2 linked regions of the Drosophila melanogaster genome follow. The protein of the gene in region 2 purifies or fractionates together with the protein of the main gene of each other region. This does not show direct contact. Each region holds a gene or a part of one and is shown on either strand. Other genes may lie near its edges.

Region 1 (4,555 bases), on a different chromosome or scaffold from region 2:
GTGTCCGCCGTCTATGTGCATCTCATCAAGGATCGTCTTTATTGTGGTGATGATCACGAGCTACTGGCCATTCGTCAAACTCTTACCCACTGCTATCAACAACTCTGCAAGAGCTTATGGCCCATTGTTCCCTTCCTGGTGGAGGAAAGCTGGAGCTACTATGACACCACAGGTGGTGCATTCCACGAGCAAATTGTTCAGACTAATCCTGAATGGCAGGACACCAAAGCCACTGAAGTGATTAATGCAGCGTTCGATGTTAAACGACTTATTAACCAACAGGCTGGAGATGTTAACACCTGGCACTTGGCCGTGACCATCAAAGGAAAGGAAAGAAGCCAGCTGGATTTGCTGCGAGAACTTCACAGCCCTCTTGGAGAGTCTGTGAGCAATTCTGAATTATGCGAGATATTGCAAGTGGGGTCAGTTACGCTCTTACAGTCCCATAATAGCGACTTGGATATTGCTTTAAGTAAACTTCAGATATCACTGTGCCCACGTTGTCGTCGCTATGGTCTGGAGGATGAGCAGAAAACGTGTCAACGTTGCTCTGACGTTATGGAGGCAAAGAACTAAGCGTAATGATGTGTTGTTATTTAGGTGTAAGGAATACATTTATGTTTTTAAAAACTCTGTAAGCATTTCATGATGGTGTCTCGCAGCTTGAGCCGGGTTGTTGGCTTTCCGCCGCAGATAATATGCGTCTCGTTGTCCTCGAACTTAATGACTGTGTCCTCATTGACAAGGTTCAGAGTCAGAGCGCCGCCAGTGCGGTCTAGCTTGATGTTGGAGAAGCCATCCTGTGCCAGCTTCTTCATCACTGCATCTACATCAATGCTGCCATACTCGTATTTGACGTTCTTCAGCACATCCTCCTTTGTCGGAGCGCTGTTGCTCGAGATGGTCTCGTCTTTAACGCTATCCGCACATGGCTGGATGCAGTGGACCTTGTCCTTAACTTGCAAAACTCCTGTCAATGTGGAGAAGGTCACGCCGGCCGCCACCTCCTTTGGCGATATCTTTTGGGCCAGTTCCGAGGTAATGTAAATTCGATCCAGCTTCCGTTTTAATGGCAGACGTATGATCTCGCCGCACTTGAACGTTATTATCTTCTTATCCGGCTGTTCAATGAACAAATTTGGGGCCGAGGGATGTGGTTTTGTGTATGCCTCTGGGATGACAAGCACATTTGGTTTCAACTCCTTGATCAGCTTATTTGCCTGCTGATAATTCAAAGAGGTGTCGATGGGACAGTAAAAAGCCTTCATGGCCAGTGGTTGGAAGGGCGCCAGTACTTGCAGATACGGAAAGTCCGGCTCCGTGAATATGATGGAGTTGTTAGGGTTATTGCCCCACATCTCGATAAAGTGAACAGCGTCGCCGAAACGCAAGCTAGGATGGCCACAAAAGACCACGCAGGGCTGTAAGGAAGACAGAGAATTTGTAGTATGAAGTTTTCACAATTATGTTAGACAAACCTGCCGGAAGTCCTTGCTAAAGCCCTCGGAGAACACATGGTTATAGTGCTTCAGCTTGTTGTTGCGAAGGTAAAAGGCATGTGGGAAAGGATCGTCTGGAAGATACACTTTGTTCTGCTTGGCGGAACTAAGCCACTCGGCCAGGATATTAGAATACGCCAAGGAGCTGTCTGCCACAGGGGAAATAAAGAACATGGGAACATTGTTTAGGCCAGCGTTTTCCAAATTCTGGGTGAGGCACTCAAAGAGGTCATAGACAACGCCCGAAGGATAACAGGGAATCAAGGCAGACCCATTGTTGCGGATCGTCAAGGCCACATTCATGCAGAGCTCGCCCAGCTTCGTGTCCGGATTTACCGTCGGCGCCTGCGTCAGTCCGGTCATAATGAGTACATCGGCGTGCTTCAGCGCCGACTGATTGATGGGCCGCGGATGTGTGGTCAACGTGGAGGAACCACTGACATAGCAAATCTTTTCATGCGCCGTGCTCAGTACCCAGTTGCTCGAGCCCAGGCAGTAGCCCGAGCTGACAGGAGTGGCGATAAAAGCTCCGAGGATGTCCAGCTTCTCGTCGTAGCCCATGATGGTCACCTTGGACAGACTGCCTTGGACATCCTTAAGACTAAAGATAGTGCGCCACTTCTTGGCGCGAAAGGCTTCGCTCAAGGGACTGGGCAGCAGATGAAGCTTCTCCTTCCACAAGCGCGCGGTGCACGCCTTGGGCGACACTTCGATATAGTCCACCAGCTCCTCCAGGAAAAATCGGCCGATCTGCAGCGTTGGCTCCGTGGCATAGACTTTGCCCTTGAACCCCGTGTTTTCCGTGATATACGGCAAGGCCAGCATATTAAGATAATTCGAGATAAGTATCACATCCACTTCGCTGAAATCCAGCATTTTGTCCATGGGTAGATTAAACTCGGGCGTCGAGTCCACGAAAACCCGGCCACAGCAGTCCTTCAACTCGCCATCCATTTGGGGATCATGATCCCGACTGGGCACGAAGTTGGGCAGATTGGACCACTTCAGTGACTGAACGAAGGGCAGCGGAAGGAAATTCAGGACTGTCTGCTCCGTGAGACCGCAGTCCAGCATAATCCGCAGGCCCTTGAAGGTAATGATATAACATGGCTTGGCCAGGTCCCCGCTGAGACAATACTGCAAAGTGGATAGTCACTTCCGCTAATTAAGTTGTTATTTACTTCTCAGGATGACTTACCAATCGCATTTTATTAAACCGACAGTGCCGATTAGACGATGCAAGTTTGTTTATATTTGGACCAGGGATGGGGAACGATTTGGTTCACTTATGAACCGGAATCAGCACCCGGCTAAATCATTAACCATAGGTACCAAAATTAGTTAATTACAAATTTTGGTAAATGTTTTACTACTTGTTAAACTGTAGTCATCACGCTTTAACATTTGTGCAACCACATTTTTTTCACTCCACTTGTTGCAGTGCTGTTGGTTTCCATCCCTGGTCTCTTTATTTGGTTTTTCGCAAATTTGAATAATGTCCCAGCAAATTCGCGTGGTACAATGCATTCAATGCAAAATGTACCAGGTGAGTGCAAACAAACTGAAATATATCTTAGAACTCAATAACTACTTATATATATATACCTAATTTAAACAAGGTGGACTTCGTGAAAAAGGCAAGCACATGGCAGTGTAAAATTTGCCGCCAAAAGCAAAGTTTGCTCAAGGAATTCTTTCGAGGATCGGCAGCGGAATGCCGGGTTAAGGTGCAGCATCTCAACTTAGAGCGCGGAATGCAGGAGGAATGTCTGAACACGGGCTTATTCCTCACGGCAAAGCAACAGCTCGAAGAGGAGAAAGACTGCCAAGAAAAAGAGGAAAACACCACACCTCAGAAGAAAACAAATAAATGGGCAAACTATGTGGATAATACCATTGAAACTACTCAAAAGCCTGCAGCAAAACCTACGAAAACCGATGAACTTTCCGACGAAATCTCTATGAACTTTAAGAAAACCAGGAACACAGGGCCACGATCCTCTAAACGTTCCGCTGAAAATATGCCAACAGTTACTAAGAAAATTTGCTCTAAGTGGAACGACTTCTTGTAATTCCTTAAAAATTATATATCATATATATAAATATATATTTGAATTAATTTCAATTAGAACTTATTTATAAAGCGAAGAATATTATCAGTGCTAGATTATCTCCAATTAAGATTTCCAGTTACGTGAATGAATTAAGCTTATCTTTATTAAAAAAATAATTTAATTATAATTGTTCAATACGTTTTATTAAAATCCGCTTCGTTCTAGTATTTGTGTATATGAGTGTGAGGGCCATAATGTTCACATTCAAACTGAATACATTGCCTTGCCTTGCACTAATGCTAGAAAAATACAAGTTTTATGATCCACTAAATATTGTTAGTTAAAGTTGGGGTAATTTGGGATTCACTAATCGCCGATTGGGCAACATGTTGGACATGCTTAGCTCCTTGTGCCCCAATCGGTTTGAATACTCGTGTATAGATTAGAGTTGGTTATAGTTAAGTGACGCCTGGTCGCGCTTTTATCTTGAGAGAAATTGTAATATTAGTAGCCGACTACGTGTATATAACCTATTCTCGCCGCTTAGGTGCTGGCAGGAGTGCCTCCGACACCCTCCTTCTTGGCCACCTTCTCATCGGAGCCGGTCTCATCGATGTCATTGGACTCGGTCTCCGTGCCGGGTGCACCACCTGCCTTGCCCGATGACCTACGTCGCTTGCGGTTGACACGCCATGGACGCATTGGAAACTTCATCGCCGGCAATGGCTCCATGCCAAGCACTTTGTAAATCTGTCGAAAGGCAATGTAGCGCAGGAAGAGCTGTGCGGACACAGTGAGATCCTCGCGCTCCTGTTTGGTCAACTCGAGTAGAGCGTCTGTGGGGTCCTTCTCGCAAGGATCCAGCAGGCCCGGTCCGTTGATTAGAAAGCCTGACGATAAGGCCTCCATGATGCGACGCATGCAGTCACCGGGCGAAATGGGAAAGCCAGCCGACGAGATGACCTTCTCTACGAGGAGCTCCAAAGACCATTGGGGCAGCGA
Region 2 (3,257 bases):
AGCGCGGCTCCGTACTCCCAATGCCAAGATCAATTTCAGCCCGTCTATTTCGCTGCGTGGACGTCCCGGTGGCAAAACCGTGATCAACGATGACCTCACTCCACAGCCGCGTTCCAAGAAGACCTATGAGTTTAACTTCGAGCTCGACGTTAGCATGGATGCCAACGTAATTGTGAATGTCAAACGCAAAAAGAAAGCGGACCAGGATAAGGCGACGGCGGTTGATTCACGTACACCCTCATCCCGCAGCGCGTTGGCGTCCAGTTCGAAGGAGGAGGCCTCACCTGTGACCCGAGTTAACCTGCGCAAGGTAAACGGCCATGGCGACTCCTCCACGCCCGGCCGTAGTCCGCGGACACCAGCCGTCACTGTGCGGAAATACCAGGGATAGGAGCCTTTGTTTTCTGTATTTTTACATTTGTAACCTCATTAATAAAAACTTGAAATATTTTCTTACTTTTACCTACATTTACTGAATTCGATAGCACGTACATATCTTTAAAAATCATTTATTGAAAATGAATTATTGAATTATTATTATGAATGAACGTTCAGAATTTTATGCGGATTGTAACTTTATACTTAATTATTAGAGATGCTAAATTACTGCTTGGATCTGCGCTTGCTGCTGCTGCCGCTTTCGTGATGCTTGGAGGAACTGCTCTTGGAGCTGGATTTGGTGCTGGAGCCGCTGCGTCGCGATGAGGTGCCACTGCTGTTGTGCTTCTCCATTCCGCCGATGGCGCTAAGAGAAGACGCCGCCGTGGACTTAGAGGATCGTTCTTCCTTGTGCGATTTGGACGACGACGAAGAGGAGGACTTGTGGCCATGCTTGCTGCTGCTACTGCTGCTGGCATTCGTGGAACTGCTGGGCTCGGGCCGGTAGAAGGGTGACGAGGAGTTGGAAGAGTTCGATGAGCGCGACGACGCGACCGACGATTTGGCTTTGCTGGTCAACGGCATGGGTTCGTCGGCTATGAAGACAGTTGGCGTTACGGCCGCTGCAGAGGATGTTGTCCTCCCGCTGCTCGTTGGCTTGTTGCAGCACGTGTCGCACTGCCAGTTCTGCTCCTGGTCATCGGCCGCCTCCTCCTTGGTTATGGGCGGCTTGTGGCACTCCTGATGGTACATGGCACCGCACTTGGAGCACTCAATCAGCCGATTGGTGGCCGTGAAAACCATCTCGCCGCACACGCAGCAATTGAGGTCGCCAAAGTCGCCGGTGTCACCGGTGTTAACTATTCCCACGGCGCTTAGACCGTCATCCGAATCCGCAATCGTGTCCACCGAATCGGAGGGCTCCTTGTCCGGTGAGTTGGTCAAATTGATGATCTCGTCCGCATTGATGGGCTGCTGCGGGGGCGTGGCAGCACGTCCGGAAAAGTTCGCTTCATCCTCCAGCATCCGTGGCGTCATGTTGTTGGTCAAACTTTTCTCCGGACCAAAACGCGCCTTCAAAGCCTCGTCCAAAAGCAGACGCAGTTCGGCCGCCGAGGTGGGATTACTCGAGTGCAGCAACTTGATGGCCTTCTTCAGCACGGGATCCACTTCTTGGGCAGCTGCAGCAGCGGCGGCTATATTTGCGGCCATCTTAATACCGGGTAGATATAGTAAATAACAATATAAATGCAAGTTTATGCCCGCGCAACAGCTGTTTGTTTGGTTTCAGCCATTCACTTGGCAACGTGCATAGGTTTTAGGCGGGAAAATTAAATTTTAAGTTATTAGCCATAATACGATGAAAATAAAGTTATGGATCATTTCATGTAATCTGAATATAGCCTTGTTAACAACAATGTTAGTATGTAAGTAACACTACACACGTTGGTTGTATTGGATTCTCAAACATAATGTATATTCAAAAGCCCAACAGCTGTTTGACCAGTGCTACCACACTGCTACGCAGCTCGACTTCTTCTGAGCGCTGCCACTCGCTTGTAAACGTAAAGTAACATTGGTAAGAGCGGGTGTTGTTTTTTGGCCAGGTAATTTAGCCGCATCCGAAAAAGGTATATTCAAGCTAAAAATAGTTATTTCGCCACTATTTGTGTTCGTTGTTATGCCTATCGTGCAACTGCGTCGCCGGCATTTCCTTATTTGTTCTGCTGCGCAAAGAAGAAGAATTGCTGCGAACGGCCGTTGAAAAATCGAAGCAGAGAGCCAATTGGAAAAGCAATAACAACTTGGCTCTCTCGCAAAACAAACAGTTAGCTTGTGATAAGGGAAATTAAATTACTTTGTGTGCGAAAAAAGAGCGCTAATCTTAGGTGGAATTACCAATAAAACAGTAAAAGAAACAAACTGCAAACGCTTTCCAGCGCTTTGACTCATTTAGTGCCAATATTTCAGAGCCTGCAGGTGACAAAATGCGTTGCAGTTTGCAAAAGGACTGCGCAGCTCCCACGCAGGAAAATTTTCGTCAGGTAAGATGATACATGCTGAATACATTTAAACTGAACTAAAAACTATTCATTGCATTTACTGACATTCCAGCAGATGCGTTTCCCAATTGTGATTTCCCTGCTTTTGCTGCTTTTCTGCAGCGGTGAGAGTGTCGCCGCTGACGCAGCCAATCAGCTGGTAAGTGGGCGGTTAGTGGGCGTGGGTCGTTTATTTTGGGGGTGTTTGTTTGTTTTCACTGCGCACTTGTTGCCTTTTGGTCGAGACCCCGTTTAAGGCCCCCCAATTGCATGTTTTTCGCTCGCTTATCACTTCCAGTCTTTGTTGGCCGACATTTCGAATGGCTAAGAAATCAATAGGCTGAATAATGAAGCGATAATAGTCATAAAAAATGTCTTGTTTTCTTTGAAATAGGAAAATATGTAACTGTAATATGTTTACTTTTTCTTTAGAAATTTTCCACCACGGAATGTAAACTCAAGGAGCCCATTTACGGCAGCACCTTCGACTTCAGTGGTCTCCACTCGGATTTGGCCCATGTGGTGAAGAGCATGAACATTGGAGGCGACCAATTCGAGTTCAATATATGCGGAAATCTTTCAAGAACCTGCAATGGGGAAAGTAATGTGGCAGCTTGTCTCAAAAGACAGGGAAAGGAGTATATTTTGGGTAAGTTAACGATCACATTATCTGTATCTCACACGCTAAGATACCTTTACTGTTCAGGTCGTCAGCACGAGTTGTTCTACAACAATGGAAATATGTTTCTGAAGTACAAAAGCGGCGCAAAATGCGACAATGGCACTGCCGACAAGCCCAACTACCAGCTGCATGTAATGTTCTCCTGCGACTATACT

The links. Proteins that work in one complex are often made in the same cells at the same time.
Region 1: the proteins of IntS12 (region 2) and IntS9 purify together in Drosophila melanogaster (affinity purification with western blotting, with the first as the bait; one study listed by BioGRID). This does not show direct contact.

What each region holds. Positions count from the first base shown.
Region 1 is NT_037436.4:16,102,858-16,107,412, forward strand, and holds IntS9 (integrator 9), read right to left. Parts: upstream 2,771-4,555; 5' UTR 2,707-2,770; coding exon 2,698-2,706; intron 2,637-2,697; coding exon 1,479-2,636; intron 1,422-1,478; coding exon 624-1,421; 3' UTR 577-623; downstream 1-576. Other genes in the region: IleRS-m (Isoleucyl-tRNA synthetase, mitochondrial), read left to right, coding at 1-576; CG43295 (uncharacterized protein), read left to right, coding at 2,995-3,045, 3,119-3,571; Zn72D (Zinc-finger protein at 72D), read right to left, coding at 4,097-4,555. UniProt on the Drosophila melanogaster protein: Component of the integrator complex, a multiprotein complex that terminates RNA polymerase II (Pol II) transcription in the promoter-proximal region of genes.
Region 2 is NT_033777.3:26,861,803-26,865,059, reverse strand, and holds IntS12 (integrator 12), read right to left. Parts: upstream 1,685-3,257; 5' UTR 1,591-1,684; coding exon 604-1,590; 3' UTR 501-603; downstream 1-500. Other genes in the region: ball (ballchen), read left to right, coding at 1-391; Lerp (lysosomal enzyme receptor protein), read left to right, coding at 2,367-2,423, 2,494-2,580, 2,853-3,069, 3,127-3,257. UniProt on the Drosophila melanogaster protein: Component of the integrator complex, a multiprotein complex that terminates RNA polymerase II (Pol II) transcription in the promoter-proximal region of genes.